Lonchura striata: one gene and its partner. Each later gene encodes a partner of the first gene's protein in a complex. Links are inferred from orthologs where the notes say so. Each region holds a gene or a part of one and is shown on either strand. Other genes may lie near its edges.

Region 1 (8,780 bases):
GCTTAAACTGACTACCTCTCCCATTTCTTGCATTATACCTAGTTAAAGAAACCCTCTGTTTTGTATTAATAGTGCAGAGATTTTTGTGCAATTTTACACATCTTCAGGGTTGCCCAAGCGAACTCATTATACTCTTGTAGCTTTGCACTTATTTCAACTCACCCATGCTTGGATGGGAACCCAAAAGAATGAAAGAAGTATATAAGTCAGCGGCAGAATATATAGAACATGCTTTAGAAAGTGCTCAGAGTAAACTACAGGATAAAGCCTAAACTTGCAAAATTGGCAACGTAAAAAAACATCAACCGTCCTTAAATCTGATATGTAAATCCCTGAACAGAATGAATATCCATAAGGCAGTTGATGTGCCAAGACTTCTATTTACTATATCAAATATCTTCACTTTGCTTATGCTTTGTTTTTCCAGCATTTCCTTGGTTGTAGGTTTCTGCACCTCTCGTTGACAATTACTAGCAGCTACATCGTTACATTTGTCAGATCACCTTTTGGGCTAATAACTGCCTCATTGCCCTCAGTAGCTGAATGGACAAATAACAGAAAGACTGTTCTTCTTTCCAGAATAGAGAAGAAAGAGAAACAAAACAGATAGCTTTAAGGGCCCCAAAGCAGGAGTTAGGGAAAAAATAACTCACAATACATCACAGAGCTGAGAACACTATTTTGACTTTACCTCTGAAGCCTGAACAAGGATCATACAGACCCAACTGACAAGCAGGATATCATTTATCAAGGCATTAATTTATGGTCAGATGCCAATAGTCACTAATTGTCTTCACCTGCACAGGAAGGGCAGCACTTGCTGTTGTTCGTCTCCTGCTCCCTGACCCCAAGGAAGGTGTTTGTATAACTTTGAGAACTTTTAGTTCATTGTTGCTTTTGACTAGATAAACCACTTACACGAGCTAGTGACAGCCTCACACAGTTTCTTTGATGAGCTTAGGTACCATGGTGACACTAGAAATATCTAGGATGGAAAACAGAGAAATTACAAAAATTATTTTGTTGAGAAATGCTGCAGGGAAATGTCTCAGACCTTTTTCTAAGATTTGATGCCAAGATAACTATCTCCATGTATAAAGCATGCTTTTTGCAGCAAAGACAGGATTATAGCCAGCTAAGAAGTTTCGAGGAAATTTAGCCAGCACATAAGACAATTCAGGGTTTTTTACTCCGTCAACTAACATTAAACAAAAATACGTTATTTTTCCTCTGTTCACATGATGGGGCCAGGCTGAAGATCCATTCCATCAGCATTCCAGGCCTGCTGTGAGATGCTATACCCATTTTTACAGAACAGTAAGCTGAGATGCACAGAGTTAGTATCAGTCAAAACAAGAGCTCCAGGAAGTCGTATGATCTAACCAGAAGCCAGAAATGTTTCTGGCTTTTTGGGAAAGAGGCATATTTCGCAATGCAAGGACTGGTCTATTTATGTAGATGCACTTCTACAAGGCAACTTTTCAGTTTTAGTTGCAATGCTGAAAAGCCTTTCTTCATTTTTCTCCATCATGTGATGGAAATGTGAAAGATGTGATCATAAATGACACTGAAAATTAAAGGTAGGAAATTAAGTAGGGCCTCTGAGGCATTTGAACAATACTCTTTTTTTGGCTAATAATTATTCTTCCTGGTAATAATAACACGTAAATACAGTAAATTATATCATCATCGTTATCTTCATATCTTGATGTATGATTTTACTATGAACCACTAAATAAAGTACTATCAAAATTAAGAATGTTACACCTGTAGCACATCACAAACCACCTACAAGTTACAAAGAGTAGATTCCCACTGTGTGGTTCATTTTAATTACTACTAAGAGTTATTTCCACCTATAGAAATTAGTGTAGATCTCTCACCACAGAAACAGAATTTGCTACCCTACAGGCAATTTGGAACCTCCTTTCCCTGGAATCCAGGGGAATTAATATCCATCCCAGGTATTTAGTGTCAGCCTACCTTTGATACTTCACAGATTTCTGTCTAGTAATTAAGAATTAAAGACATCGGTGCCCCTTCTTGAACCCATCTGTGTTGCAGAACTTGCTGAGAGCTATTGTTAGAGAGAGGAATGAGGTAGTCTTTCCCTATAGTGACTTGTGAAAAATAGACTACCAAACCAGCCAGTGATCCTGGGTAAACAATGGGAACCTAAATTAAAGGACAGCAAATAAAGCAAGAATAACCAAGAATTACTATTCATGGACTTCCCTACTCATTAAAGCATGGATGGATGGATGCAGTTATGCCAATAAAAATATGTGCAGAATGTATGGTATGGTGTATCTAGATGCCTCTCTTACTTCATCCATACTAGGAGCTGAACTGTCACAACTATTTTGCATTAAAATATCACATTGCTGACAGAGAAAGAATATAATAAATGCTGTGCAGCTGGAGCCAAACGTGGTATTTTTTCTTTTGCAGTTCAGCTGCCCAATGACCTACCCCTTGCCATCCACTATTTCAGGCTGTCTTCTTTTTTTTTTTTTTTTTTTTTTCTTGTTGCTATGTGACCCTAGGTCCATTGGCAAGGAGAGGAAAGAATTATTTGGAAATTTAAAATACTAAATATGCAGTGGTTAGAAAGGTTTCTTTTTCCTTCAACAGAGTTCAAAAAAAAGTGGGTGCAATCTGGCTGTATCTGAATGCCAAAAGAAATATGACAGCTCTTAATGCCTGGGAAAGGATTTTTTTTTTTTTAATCAATTATTTATTTCTCTCTCCTCTTTAAAACATCATGTTTCTTAAGGAAACACAGCCTAGGAAATCACACTGTAAGCCAAACTTTTTCAGTAACTTTTGAACCTGTTGCAATTTCTGAGTCAATTCCAACCTAATCTGATCAAAGGCTAGAAGGCTTATAAACTTAGTGAAAATCAGGGAATGCATAAAGGAAAAAGATCAAAATTAGAATCACTGTGGAAGGAAAGACTGAAGCAAAACCTCAAGCTATCCATTGCATTTGCTGTGGCCAGGTGATCAGCACATGCATCTCCAAGTTTATCTGATACCTGCATTTCATAGTCATGGGTCTTGGGTGGCACATGGGCAGCAGAGGAGCAGAACTACAGCTTCACAGGGAATGATACAGGAGAGGATACAGGTACCAAGGCTGCTTTAGTTCAGCGCTAGGGGAATAATCACTTATTTTCTACTTTGGCCTTATGCCTGGCTTTCTTCATTTCCTAGAATGAAATGAACAATTCTCTGTCATTCTCATCATTATAGGTCTAGTCTGTTCATGGCTAAGACTAGGATAAGATAAATCTCAAAGAAATATGGGACCTTTGACTAAACCAACAAATTAGGCCAAATTACTGAGAACACTTTCATCTATTGAACTCTGAAATTCCCCTCTTTTCTAAAATGTTAATTTCTCTCTCCTCTTCCAACTAAGTGAAACAATTTCTCTGTTTTCTGTCTCCTTTTTCTTACAGCTGTCTTGCCAATTCACTCTCACCCCAGGAGCACTACTCTCTCTCTATTACCCCTTCTGCCATCCCATTATAGGGGAGATCTACAGAAGCAAAGATGGTTATTTTGCCAGTTTCCCATGGGTCTAGTTAATTTGACATAGTTTTGCAACCATGAAATACTGGTTTAATAAAGTTCAAGAGGGGAAACTATTGGAACTGAAATTGAGTACTTTTGGAGATTTTTTTTTTATCCTAAAGGTAATACAGGGGGGAATTTCTGTAAGAATGGTGATTACTACTGGGACAAAGAATGGTAAATTCACTTCAGACACACTCTACTTTTAAGATACTGATATTTGTTCCTCAGCTCCAGATACATAAGTGTATAAACACACTTTTTATTTTCTTTTCTTAGTTCCTGGTACTGTTTTCTTTCTTGCAATTTTTTTTTTCTTGCACATACTTTGTAGCTTTCTTTACAGGATAACTCCTATCAGAGCTGGCAGTTTTTTGGTTTTTCCTCCCCTATACAAAATTGTAAACCCTAGTTCGCATTGAAAAGTTATTTATTGTCTGTATTTTTTAAGACTTCAATCAGAAACCAGACAAGCTGGAATCGTCCTGGTGATTTTTTTTTTTTTTTCAGTTAAAAAAATAAAATATTCTAATAAATGTATCTCCTAGTGCAGTGTCTGAATTCAGGTATTTAGCCATATTCAGTGAAAACGGCTTATAGGGCAGTGCTTGAAAGGAAAGACTCACTTGAGCGTGGCATGAAAAGGGAAAGAAGGGCACGGAATCGCTGTGCTATTTACATGAGAGGAGCGACGGCAGGAGTGCAGAATGCCGGCGCTCTCCCTCTCCCGCAGCCGCCGGGCGCGGTGATCCATTCACCTGCATTAACTACAGCTCCCATCAGCCCGGGCGCGCGGCTGCCCCGCCGCCGCCGGAGCCGCTGCTCCTGCCGGAGCCCCGCCGCGGGAGCGGCCGCGCTGTGGCCGTGCCCAGCTGCGCTGTCCCGCGGCGGCCAGCCCGGGCCGGGCCGGGCCGAGCCGAGCCGAGCCGAGCCACGCCCTGCCCGCCCGGGCCTTCCTCGGGCGCCGGCGCCTCCCCGCCCACTGCCGAAGATGGCGGCTCCGTTGGCGGTAAATTCGGGTAAGAACAATCTGAGCGCGGGGCCGCGGCTTCTCCTCCGCCTCTCCCGCGGCCGTCCCGCTTCCCGGCCGCTGCCGGTCCTGCGCCTCTCCTCCGCGCCCGCGGAACGGGGCGGCCGCCCGGGGCAGCGGGGCGCGGCCAAGCGGCGAGGCGAGGCCCGGGCGGGCAGCGGGGCAGCGCTGCGGGGCTCCCGGTGCGGTTTGCGGGGTGCGGGCAGGCGCTGGGAGAGCGGCCTCCCGTGCGGCGGTAGCCGGGCTCGGCCGCGCAGAGCTGCCCGGCGACGGAGCTCCGCGCTCAGAGCTGCCGCCGCGCCTGGCTGGTCCTGGCGGGAAGTCACGGCCGGCAGCCGAGGCCTCCTTGTTTAGAGGGGACTGTGGTAACTCGGTGTGCACGTGGTTGCGCATCACTTCGGCATTAGGCTCATCTCCTAATGCTGTGTGGTTTAACAGGGAAAAGAGGAGTATATCCAGAATTATGCCCTGCTTTCCACGTATAGTGGCATTGAGTAGTTAGAGAAAACAAAGCCCCTATCCCTCTTTAGTCTTCCTTCTGTAAGACTGAACCAGGTCACTTCTTTCAGCTTCTCATTCATCCTGTTCTCTGGCTCACTATTTCAGTGTCTAGCTCTGAGGAGCCAAATATTAGACACAGTATGTGAGTGGAGGACTCCGAGATGCCTAAATAATCACTTACTTGCATCTGCTGGCTACAGCTGTTAACACAGCTTGGAGCCTGTAGGCAGCCTGTGCTGCTGACTGGTCAGCTTCCTGTCTGCCAGGACATTTGGGTATTTGACACTTGGGTAAAGCTGCTCTCTAGAAGTTCCCTTGGTCCCCAGCCTGTGCAGTGATTCTCTGTTGGGTGCAAGATAATGCATTTACTCTTGTTGAGCTTCATTAGGTTAACAGAAGGAGAATGGAGACCCTGTGAAAAACAGTTATCACTGCAATATAGGCCAGAAGGTCTGTAAATAAGGTTTTGTATTTCAATAGTGACAGTTAATATTTATTACTGATTCTAGCTAATAGAATTAAAACATCAATTCCTGTGGCAAGCAAGGAACAAATTTTACAGAGATTTTTTAATCTCACTGAATGGATTGCATCCCTGTAGCCTTACAGAAAAGCAGTAATAAAGCAAAGACTCTTAATGAAAAACTATCGCTTTGTTGAAGTGAAAATCGGAGTAGTTCAAATGAAACTATTTTATGAATTGCACAGCAAGAGAGTCCATAGCCTTATAATTAAAAAACACTAGGGGAAGAAGGAGTTTTTTCCAGGAAATACAAGAGAAATTAAAAGGAGATATGGCACTAGAACTAGTAAGGACTTTGCCTTAGGTTAGAGTGTATTGTTTGTGGGAGCAGATATATAATGGTTGAGTCTATCCCTTGGCAAGGTGTTCAGGCACATAAGCATCAGCTGCTACTGTTGCCAAGAGAAGCAACTCACCTTATCTTTCCTTGCTGCCCCCAATGGAACAGTCTGCCTTTCTAAAACTAGTAATAATAGAGCAGCTTTAGTGGGAAAAAGTCAGCATGGTTGCTGAAGTCCTACCTCTTCCTATTCCAGGTGCCTGCTCCTTTCTCTGCAATAATCCATCTTTGTGCCATTGCAGAGCAAACTGGGTTGTAGATGTGATCCTGGTGAAAATAAACTCCTTTTTGGATTAGATTTTGGTTAACAAAGTTAGATCCTTAATTTATTCTAATTCCCTACGGTACGTGTGTTTAGGCTGGTGCAAAGCAATTACGTGGTAGGGACAAAAGTAAACAAATGGGCCAGGGAAGTAGTTGAACAGCTTTTGGTAGGCACTGTGGTTTGCTGCTGGTGTTTATTTTTATTTGGTAATGTAGTAAGAGTGAAAAGACAATTTCAAGTGGAAATAAATCTGGACTCTGAAGTTGTGTGGGACAGCCAGTTACAGCTGAGCATGAAATTATGCATCCAATAGTAGCTATTTCTAGGCTATTTCTAACTGTACAAGTTAAAACACTGAAGCTCGGTAAAGGCAAATTTATCCTTTTTTTATTGGTTGGCCTGACACAGCCATTCTGGCACTGCTAAATGTGTTCTCTCAGTCATTTGTAAATTCCCATATAGCTACTCAGCATGAATGGCTTCACCATTTAAGTATGGCAGTCTTTGATCTGACACTCTAGAAGTACTTTGAAGCTTAGGAGATTGGCATTTTGATTGTTGGGAGGGATATCAATTTTAGTTGGAGTAATCAAAGGAGTTTGTGCTCTCTCAATGGAGAATGTTTTTCTCTGATTAGTGAGGCAGGATTTCACACACCTTCCATATATGACTAGCTCAGTACACACTGGTTCATCTCTGACAATGTAGGAGCAATGAGGGTGATTTAAATAGCTTGCTTTTGCTTAAACCGCTTTTTGGTTTTCCCAACTTGCTCACTCAAGTAGTAATCTTTGGAAATGGTTGAAACAATTTTTCTTTAGCCATCTGCTGTAATGCAATAGTATTGTATATTTTGATTTGATGGATTGTTTGGCTAACAGTGAAGGTAGTCCTTTTCTGGAGTGTTCTGCAGAAGTGGTAGGGTCACAGTCCTGGAGGGATTTAAATGACATGTAGATGTGGCACTTGGGGACATGGTTTAGTGGAGGACTTGGCAGTGTCAGATTAGGGCTTAAACTCAATACCCTTACAGGCCTTTTCCAACCTAATACCTGTATTTTAAGTATTCTTGTAAGATGACTTTCAGCACCAGAATTTAGGTGTGTACATAATCTTTTTTGGTTCTTTACTTCCCTAAAAGCATTTAAGTTTTATATCAGACCATTGTTGGGTTTTTTGTTTTTGTGCCTTAGGAAAGGAAAATATGCTTTTCTTGATGGGTGTAAGAGTATACTGACGTGCCAAGAGTAACAGTAAGATAAAAAAGAGTTTACTTATTGAAAACAATATAGAAATAATTTGTTTTCTTCCTTTCTGTATTTCAAACACATTGTTTTATTTCTTCTTTTAGCTGCAAGCTTGTGGGGTCCATATAAGGACATATGGCAGACTGTTATGAATGCCATTTGGAAAAGGCAACCTGAAGCTGTTCATCGTCTCGATCAAGTTTTAAAGAAGCACAAATCTGACTTCATTTCTCTCTTCAGAAATCCGGTACTGGACTAATGCTCTCTTTTGGGATGAGCTGGAGAATTGATGATTTACTCAGTCCTTTACTGTTGTCTTACATGCCATTTTAGACCCTATCCATTCTTTTCATGTGACATTTTTACATTACATAACACAGATGTTTTATACCAGTCTTGTTCTGCTGTAAGAATACAAATAGTATTAAGTGGGAAAAAATAATACATACATATTGTATCTTCTACAGGATAATTTTATCTATGATGTTTTTTTTTCTCTCATTATTTGAGTGCTATTTTGAAAGGAATAGTAAAATTATCTGATGATCCATCAGTCATGTATTAACTTTTTTTGTTACTCTTGTGTGTCTGATGTAAAGTGCAAAGCTATTTTGTCTTTGGTTTTGCTCATGTTTCAGTCAGATTAACAAACATGCAAAACGGGTGAACAAATGAATTTAAAAAATACAGAATGTGTCTTGTTCAGAATGCCAGATAATATGAAAAAACTCTTTGTTTTTTGGCTGGTGGATCATAAGGTAGTAACTAGAAATAAGTCTTCTTTCAGTGGTGTAATTTCTCCAATGGTAGATGGCATTTTAAAATTGAAAGGTTGGAAAATTTAACAATCAGCTGTAGAGTTTCATCTGTATATTTTAACATCTGGAAAAAGAATGATGTAGAAAATAGATGTGAGTAACACAACAGTTCTGATCAACAACCCAATGTCTTTCACTGAGTTGATACCAATTCCTGCTGAGGATTGTATCAAAGTTTACTTTCAAACTAGTATTTTGAGTAAACTAAATGTCAGCACTGATTGTATAAGATTATTTTTTTATATTCTCGCAAAGAGACCACTGCTGTCCAAGCATAAAGCATTTTTAGGATGCTGTCTCTTTTTAAAAGCACTGCCTTTGTTTTTATGATAACAACCTAACCTGACAGAACTGTATTTGTGAGGAAGGATAAATGTGTAAAGCTTTATTCAGTATTTGATCTTGCCATTTGGAATAACTTCCGATGCTTTTTTCTCTTGCAGCCAAAAAATGTTCAGCAGCATGAGAAAATTCAGA
Region 2 (9,247 bases), on another chromosome or scaffold:
TGTATTTGCAATGACTTGTTAATCAGGTGAGATAGCAGAGACCGGATCTGTTTGAACGGATTAGTGTGCCACAGAGATGGAGTGGAACAGGGAGGAGGAGGGTGGAAATAAGCAGCTTCGTGCCCTGCAATGCAGTACAGAACAACTTCCCAGTGTTTACTTGCAATAACTCAGATGCACCCCTGCCAGGCACAGCCTCCTGGCAGACACTGACTAGAACAGACACACTCCTGTACATTCAAATATGAGATCCTCCAGGAGCAGTGACTGTAAGAACAACACAGACATCAGCTTGATTTGCTCCGATCTGGTCCACTTGCTCTTTTCATTAGCAAGATAAAAAGCTGGGAGTGTAAGAAGCACCAGCTTCTCAGACTGCTGAAACCAAAAGCACGAAAAGTCAGTCCTACAGAACTGCACTCAACCTGCACATTTTACCTGCAGACACCCTGTTAATACCATGTAAGGTCTGTCACATAAGTTTGCCTGCATAGTACAACTGCAACAACTCTGTGAGATTGAACCCAATTCAGCAAATACGGAACAAACTGGTTATTTTGGAGCAAGTTAAAGTACCTGTGATCATAACCAAGCACTGGAAGCAACATCTCAAACTCAGAGAGTCAACACTAAACAGCTTTTTATAAGTGACAGAATTCAAACATTTAGACTGAAGATTCATATATTCGTAATAGTGCAAACAACTTTGTCTCCACCCTGACAGAATTTACTGCATTTCAAGTCTGCAGTCTGACTCTTCATGCTGCTGTGCAAGATGGAAACTGCTTCCACAGCAACAGCAGATTTTCATGTCTGGCTGGGGAAGGAGCAACAACCAACGTCTAACAGAAAGAAAATACTTCAGAAATTAAATTAACTTCAGTGAAACCAGATTGACCTTGGGCAAAAAGCCAGGACTGAAAGAGCTCTTCTGTAAAACAACTTTGATGACGTATCAATAGAAGTTGCTGCATTAGACCACGATTCCATTAAAGCCCAGTTTAATTTCCTGAACATTTAAAGCCACACTTAAGCACTATATATTGTACAAACTCACTAAGCTTAAGCCACAAAGAAAACAGAACAGATGACAGGTTTCTTAAGTCTATTCAGACTGATTATAGTTGATTATTTCTTACCTAAAAACTCCTCAAGAGCACTACAGTGCTATCTTAGGAAGAAAACTCTAGCTATTCTACTCCAAATACAGCCACGATGAACATTTTACTGTACTTGATTCAGAAATACAAAAGCTGAAATACTCCAGTGCACGTCTAAGTGTTCACTGTACTTCACACATTGACAGGATTTGTGTCAACTAACCAATTAACTTTGAGAAACAGTAAAAAAATTAGGTTTTCCCAGTGCTCTAGGAAAAAGAAAGGAAGATGTCACAGGAGAAGGAAAACCTCACTCACTACATTCAGAGTGCTGACAAAGCAAGAGCTCCACAAGTTGCAGAAAGATTATTCAAAATGGGAAAGAAAAAGGAAAAAATCCAGTGTTGGCTTCTCAAAGAGGCTCCACCCTCAAAGTGCTCAAGAGACCCAGTCTGATGAGTCAGGATCAGCTTCTTGTGGAAAGAAAACACAAGAGCACAAGTAGTAAGACCAAGCCAGCAGTGTTCTGCTTCCTACAGCCAATATCTGAGGTGAAAAGTGCTTTTTCAACAGGCTCCAAGCCTGGGATGCTACAGAGAATGGAGCAGCTTCTGTCTATTAAGCTAAACATGAATAAGTAAAAGGTCCATTCTGCAGGCCTGGGGAATTCTGTCTGAGCAGCAGCAATAATACCCAGCTCTTGCATGGCACGTGGCATAAGCAGACATCCAGACATTTCAGAGAAGTCAGCAACATAATCTCCATGTTACAGACAGAGGAAGTGATTAAGAAACACTGAGATGATAATCAAAGAGCAGGTGGACAATTGTACAACCCAAATCTGCTGCACATTTTCAGCACACCATCCTCTTGTCCATAAAACACAATAATGATTATCAAACCTAACAGAGGGAAAGCTTCCATACCCTAACTACACTAAACCCAGATAAATCACAATAGGCCACTTTAAAAATATCTAAAAGCTTCAAGCTTTATTTGGCACCCCATCTGGTACAACAGCCTCTTCCCCCTGCAACAAAAGGCAGATGCAGGAAAATCCTGAATAGATCACACAACAACCTTTGAAACAATACTATTGTTTCTTCTACCACTGATCCATTAATGCTTCTCTGACTCCTATAAAAAGGCTTTCAGTCCTGCATATTTTCTTCTTCATCTCATTTGTAGGTAGATATGCAAAAGTCCAATCTTCTTATGGTCCCAGAGAACCCTTACAGTAGGTATGTTGAACAAAAATTTTTTTTTCAAAGTTTTAAAGGCAGTTACACTGGGTTACTTGCACTGTAAGAAAGGACAAGGAAGGGCACACAATGCTTCTCTACAGTGTTCATTATTTAAAGTGGACCTAAAGAGTAGGCATTTGAAGTGATTTCTACCAAAATACACTAGCACACATTTGTCAACACCCTTTCATCTGCCATCAATTCCTCATAAAGGTCTTAAGTTCCCATTGCCCTGAATAACTGACTCAGCTGGCAGTTTTGCTATATTACCACGTTCCCTCTTTTCCAAACACTTAGCCTTTATTTTAAGCACCCAACTCAGCAGGAACTTGCACAGGGTGGCAAACTGATCCTCATTAGACAGAGCATTCAGGATTTTGAGCTCCTTAAATGAAAACCCATATCCTCCCCTCAATGAACTTCCTGTCATTGAATTTCCTGAATTTCTGCACCACAGAAACTTTATGGATTTAGATGACAGAATCCCATGCTTTCTTCCAAGCAATTTTAAGCTTTTTCTGTCAGTTTCCCCAAGGAGTAGGAAAATTTTTTATGACACAACATAACTGAAATAGCACTAAAGCATATAGGAACTGGTATTTCTTTCTCACTATCATCTTAACTCTCCATGCCATAACTACTGTTCCCAGACCAACATGACCAAATTGCAGAAGAGAAGCAGCCCTTCTTTGCACCTGGACTTTAATTCAAGCCCTTCCACTCACTGTTCATAAACTCTTCCAGTATCTGAAGGGGTCCTACAGCAAAACCAGAGAGGGACTCTTTGTCAGAACTGTAGTGATGGACAAGGACTAATAAACATTAAAAGAGGGGAAATTTAGGAAGACATTCTTTACTGTGAGGGTGGTGAGGCACTGGCACACGTTGCCCTGGGACTGTCCCACCTCTGCCAGTGTTCATCATGCCAGGTTGGATAATGCCTTGACCAGCCTGGTCCAGCAGAAAGTGTCTCTGCCCATGGTAGCGGGAGGTGGAACTATATAAGCTTTGAAGTCCCTTCCAAACCCTCTAAGAATTCCTAGGAACCAACCTGCAAACCCACTGGGTGGGAGAGAACAAGCCCCACGCACAGAACTCGAAACAGACACCAAACCACACACATCATACACAAACCCGTTCTCCGGAAACCTTCCCAGACAACCAACTTCTGCTCCCTTAAGCACCAACGCTGCACTTGGGTTAAACACCAAACCACCCTTCTACAGCCGGGCTTGGCACTGCCGACCCGCACAAAAGCTCGGAAGAACAGAGCCCTCCTCGCGCATCCACAGCGGCCCCGCTGCCTCAGCGCGGGTTACTGACGGCAGCGACCCCGGGGAGCCCCGGCACGGCCCGCGAGCAGGCCTGGAGCGCTCCCAGCCAGCCTCCCGCCGCAGCAGCGGCCTGCACGGGCCGGAGAGGAAGCCATGGGCGGGGGGCAGCAGCCGGGAGCTGCGGGTGCGGGGGAAGCAGGCAGCGAGCACCGCAGGCGGGGAAGAAGCGGGGGAGAGAAGCGGAGGACGCCGAACCCCGGCCCGCCCGCGCGGCGCCCTCACCTCGCCGCGCTCCGCGCCGCCCGCCGCGCCCGCGCCGCGCGCCTCCATTGGCTGCCCGCTCGCCCTTTCCCGCGTTCCCATTGGCCGAGCCGCCGGGCGTCCCGGCTTCCCGTGCTCCTATTGGCCCAGCCGCCGCTCTCCGCAGCGCGCCCGTTCCCGCTCCCTCGCGAGAACAACTTGATTGAGGCGCTCGGAGGGGGCGCGGACCGAATGGGGGGGCGGCTGCCTCCGGACACCGCGGGTTCGAGGCTGCCTTCCGCCTCCTCGCGCTGCGTGCGCCGCGCCGAAATCAGTGAAATAAGAGATATACAGACAGAAATATCCTCTGGGACTGTTTCTCTATTCCCCCTTTTCCTTCTTAGTAAGCGCTGACTCTTGCTGGCAAACCCTGTCTGTGAGCTGATTCTGTGAGCTGATTCTGTGGGAGGTAAAATGAGGATAACGAATTCATCCCCATTTTGCCTCCCATGGCCAAATACACCAGCAAACAAACTCGCAGCCAGCAGGTACTCACACCACCACCTGTATAATGGTGCCCTGAGGATGTATAGGGATTCGCTGTGTTTGGTCCCATCTTGGACATACACATGATGGCCCTAAAACAGATATTGCCAATGACACAGGATTTGTTGGGCAAAATCTGGGAACTGGGAATTTCATGGACCCACAAGGCGACAGCCTGCTTGTGTAAGAGACAGCCTGGATTTTGCTGCTGTTCTGAAACATCACCCATCAAACCTTCAAAGCTGAACAGATTTCCCCATTAACACTGTCTCTATTTCCAAATTTTCCCATGTAAAAAGAAATTCCCAGCAGGCCAGAGGCAGCTCTGGCACCGGCTGTAACTACTCCTCCTAATTGCCAAGTGCGTGCAGGGGGTCAGGGTACATTTCTGCTCGTCACTTCAGTTTGAGGGGAGCACTTGTCCCCGAGAGGATGCCCTGGTGGAATGGATGCTCTGGTAGTAAAGATGCCTTGGTGGGATGGTTGTCCTGGTGTGATGGGTGTACTGATGGGATAGGCGCCCTGGTAGGGTGGCTGTGCCACCTCAGCTCTCCCTGAGCCCTTCCAGGCTCCCGGGGCATCTTTCCAGAGCGAGGAGAGTCCTGGTCCGCCCGGAGACCGGCGCTGGTGCCCTCCGGGGCGGGACGGGGGAACAGCCGTCCGGAGGGGCCGGGAAAGGAGAGACAGAGGCAGGGACCGAGGGAGGCGGGGACCGGCAGGGAGCCGGGGCGGCGGCGGGGCTGCGGGCAGGCAGGTGGCAGCAGATCCCTGCGGAAGGGCTCGGTGGCGCCCGGAGCGGAGCCGCTCGGGAGAGCCGTCCCTGGGGAGGGACCCGGGTCCTCTGCACGGGGGGCAAGGGGTGCTGCCCCCTCTGTGGGTGCCCGTCCCTCTACACTGGGCGCACAGGGCGCCTTTGCCTTGCCCAGGATGCGCAGGGTGCTGTCCCCTCTACATCAGATGCGTGTACCCTCCATCCTGGGTGCCCATCCTATGAGCATAGCATCTCATCTCTGTGCCAGGGGTTTTAAACAGGATATTAGTCAAAACACATCAGTGAAAGTGCTGTCAAGCGCTGGAACAGGCTGCCCAGGAAAGTAGTGGAGTCACCACCCCTGGAGCGATTTAAAAAAACAATGTAGATGTGTCACTTGGCTTAGGGGTGGGCTTGGCAGCGCTGGGGTAGCAGCTGGACTTGATGACCTTAGAGGGGTTTTCCAACCTTTCCAACAATTCTATGACTGTATTTTCCTCTCGCACTGGGTGCATTTTCCCTCTGCCCTGAGGGCAGGGTGTTATTTCCCCTGTGCACACGTGCCTGTCGCCTCTGCGCCAGGTGTGTTTGCTCTGTGCGCTGGGTGCATGTCCCCGCTGCGCACAGCGCTTGTCCCCTCGGCACAGGGCGATGTCCCCGCGGCACAGAGGTTCCTGTCATGCGTGCGCAGGGTGCTCATCTGCTCTGCACACAGTGCATCGCTCCTCTGCACAGAGCGCACATCCCTTCTGCACAGGGCACGTGTCCCTCCTGCACATGGTGCGTCTCAGCGCCACGCAGGGTCACGGACACCCATCACCCCCCTGGGATTCACACACAGCTAGAAAAAGCGGAACTGAATGCGGTCCCATGGGCAGCTGCAGGGCTGTTCGTCTGGGAGTGCACCCAGGACCCCCTTGCCCTGGCTCCCGTGGGTGCCCAGAAGGGATCGTGGTCACCTCAAACCACCTCAGCAGACTGAGCTGGACTTTTTTTGGCGGGGCTCAATAAAGTACATCAGCGTCTTCGTGGATCAAGAAAGGCTCCCCTCACCCTCCCACTATACAGAGCTGTCCAGAGGCTGAGAGCACTTCCTGCTTCATCAACAAGTACTTTTTTTTTTTTTTTTTTTTAATAGAAAATACTCTTGAGGGGACCAGAAAGCCCTCACCCACCTCACTGAGAGCAGCTACAGGCAAGGGCAGGCACTGGATACATCCCTGACCAGCTCATTCCACTGGTCCTGTGGCTTTCCTTGCCCCAAATCCATCCTGGGGAGGCTGGAAAAGGCACCAAGGCTGGGGGTCTCTGCCAGACGGGCGCGCAGGCAGAACCAGGAGCAGGCAGGGCAGGCTGGCAGCGGCAGGGTGCAGAAATGTGTGCCCACATCCTACCCTGGCACGCTGCTGGGAACCGGGGAGCGGTTGATGCCTGGGGCGCTTCCTGTGCGGGGAAACCCCATCCGCGCCCGGCTTTGTTTCTGGTGCAGGATGCGGGCGCCTGCCCCGGGGGCTCAGTCTGCAGCCCCTCCGCTACAGTGGCCGGGGTCGCAGCCCTGTTTCATATGGCTCCAGCAGCAGAGCCATGCCAGTCTTCTTTTCCAGCAAAGCGTCTTCCCATGGGATTGTTTTTAAATATTTAGGGCAGGGCAGACCCTTAAAACCCATTTCCATCACTACACCTCTGTTGCAGCAAGCAGTGCTGGGAGGCTGCTGAGGCAAAGACACACTGATGCAATAAGGCAACACATTTAAAAGGCAAATGGGTGTTGAGCTAAGTGCTGCTTTTCTCACTGGCCAAGTTGGGTGCTGAGTGGTCTGAGGAGCCATGTGCTGAAGCTGGGCAGACTTTGGGGAAAGGGTGAGCCTGGATCATCCTGGATGCCTGAAACATCCCTGGGAACTGGTATTGCCATGCTCCCACTGTGCAGACACCCCACCTTGTGTCACCCAGCCTAACAGATAGGACTATGTGGGTACCCAAGGGACAAATTTTCCTGGGTTTTAAATTTATCTTGTCCGTGGTGCCTTGTCACCAAGTGCTGCAGGAGATTTTCGTGCCAGGCAGAGCTGTCCTATTGCCTGAAGAGACACAAAATGGGTGAGGGCAGCATGGCTGGGAACTTACATCTATGGTGGGGCACACCCAGGAGACATGTATGGGCAGGCATCTGCCTTAAAAGTGGCTGCTCCATTTGGCAGAGACTTTCGGAAGCAAAACACTTAGTATGCATCTTCCCACCGCCCCCCCTCCCCCATTCCAGCAGCCACCCGAAATCCAGGCAGCTAAGCACTGCATTCACAGCTATTGTTACCTGCCCTCCTGCATCTGGAAGACTTTGCAGCTTTAAGCAAGGTGCTTCCCAAGAACGAGCTGGAAAAAAGTGCTCGGAAGTTTTGCCTACAGCAGGAGCCAAGCAGTGTAGCTGTAGGTGTTCGGCATGGGGAGACTGCAGGGAAAGTGTCCTTTTGGGGATGGATCTGCTCTGCAATGGATTGGGGCTTGCAAAGCTTTTGAGGAGGGAAGCTTTGTCCCCACTAGAATTTGTCCAAATGCTCTCCAGCAGCAGCTCAGGGCAGGCATCTTGCCAGCACAGATCACCCTCCCACCCACCACACTTGCTCCTACAAAATCTTTCACCCAAAGGAAGCCCCTAACATAGTGCAGAGGCACCTGCCATGTAGCCAAGGAAAGGCTGGAGGGGACTAGAGACCCTCCTTCCACTGTTTGCCCACACCTCTGGGTGTGTCACCTGTCCTCCCTGGGAGACCAGCACCTCAAAGATGCCCACATCAGCCCCACATGTAGGATGAGATCCACCCCTGTGAAGCTCCTTTCCTCCCTCAAGGAAGGTGCAGAGCCCACTTAGGGAAGGACACAGGAGTGTTTCTGAGCAGCCCTCTCCCACCCTGCAGCGACAATTCGACAATTCCCATACAGGTGTCCCAAGCGGCAAAAATGCTCAGCCTCCAACCCATCCCCACAGCAGCACTCGTACCTCCAGAAAAACTCCTTTATTTCCATCCAGTTTCACCACTGGTACAGAAAATACAAAACAAGAAAAACAAAAACAAAAACAAGGCTTTTTTGTGCCCCCCACCCCCCATCCCTGAAGCGTGCCGACTATTTACAGGCAGAGGTGAGCGGCTCAGTGGCAGCAGCTGCACTTGCTGCTGGTCGGCTCCTTGCACACGCAGCCCTTGGCACAGTTGCTGCAGCTTGCGGGGCAGCAGGAGCAGCAACCTGGGGAGGACACAAGAGTTAGGAGGTAGGTGGAAGGGACTGGGGTTCTGTGAGGCAGGGGGACCCGATGGAAAGTGGGAAACAACTCCTCTGCATGAGCAGGGCTGATGATCCCAGTGGGTTGGAGCTCTCCATGAGGGTCCTACACAGTGGTGGCAGCCCCCCAGAGGGGGTGTGTTGCAATGGGCCGGGGAAAAGGGAAGGATCCTATGAGGGTTCTACAGGACAAGAGAGGGAGTGATGGGGTCTCCATACACGGTCTGACAGGCAAGAGGGGTTGCCTACAGGGTAAGAGTTGGGAGGTCCCCATTGGGTCCTACAGGGCAAGAAAGAGCTCCCTTGTGGAACAGGAAGGTGTCCATGGAGTCCCACAGGGCAAGGAGGGATTTCCCTAAGGAGCAGCGAGGTGCCCAGGGAGTCTCACAGCATAAGGCTCTCAATGGAGCAGAGAGGTGCCCATGGATGTTCCACAGGGCAGTGGCAGCTCCCTCCAAAAACAAGGCCGGGTCTCCCCGCCCTGAGCCCCCCACTCACTCTTGCGGCAGCTCCGGCAGCGGCAGTTCTTGCACTTGCAGGACCCGGCGCAGGAGCAGGAGTCACCTGGAGAGCGAGGGCAGGAGAGCGGGATCAGCCAGGAGTCAGGCAGCCGGAGTTAGGCGGGATCAGCCGGGACGGGATGGGACACTTACCGGCGGCACACGTGCAGTCCTGGGGGTCCATGGCTCGGCTCGGCTCGGCTCAGTTCAATCTAGCTCGGCTCCGTTCGGCTCGGTCCGGCGGGGCTGACAGCGGTGCAGAGCGGCCCCGGTCGCCCGCTATTTATGGGGCAGGACACGGGGCGGTGCTGGC

The links.
Region 2: NUP205 (region 1) and NUP93 share a complex: the UniProt entries of both Homo sapiens proteins name them as parts of the nuclear pore complex. The link is inferred for Lonchura striata from reciprocal best matches to the Homo sapiens genes NUP205 and NUP93.

Annotation. Positions count from the first base shown.
Region 1 is NC_134607.1:56,498,619-56,507,398, reverse strand, and holds the start of NUP205 (nuclear pore complex protein Nup205), read left to right. Parts: upstream 1-4,549; 5' UTR 4,550-4,570; coding exon 4,571-4,598; intron 4,599-7,589; coding exon 7,590-7,732; intron 7,733-8,746; coding exon 8,747-8,780. UniProt on the Homo sapiens protein: Plays a role in the nuclear pore complex (NPC) assembly and/or maintenance. May anchor NUP62 and other nucleoporins, but not NUP153 and TPR, to the NPC.
Region 2 is NC_134615.1:15,612,976-15,622,222, reverse strand, and holds the start of NUP93 (nuclear pore complex protein Nup93), read right to left. Parts: upstream 4,007-9,247; 5' UTR 3,901-4,006; intron 3,602-3,900; exon of another isoform or gene 3,479-3,601; intron 1-3,478. Other genes in the region: metallothionein-2, read right to left, coding at 8,304-8,398, 8,933-8,998, 9,088-9,118. UniProt on the Homo sapiens protein: Plays a role in the nuclear pore complex (NPC) assembly and/or maintenance. May anchor nucleoporins, but not NUP153 and TPR, to the NPC. During renal development, regulates podocyte migration and proliferation through SMAD4 signaling.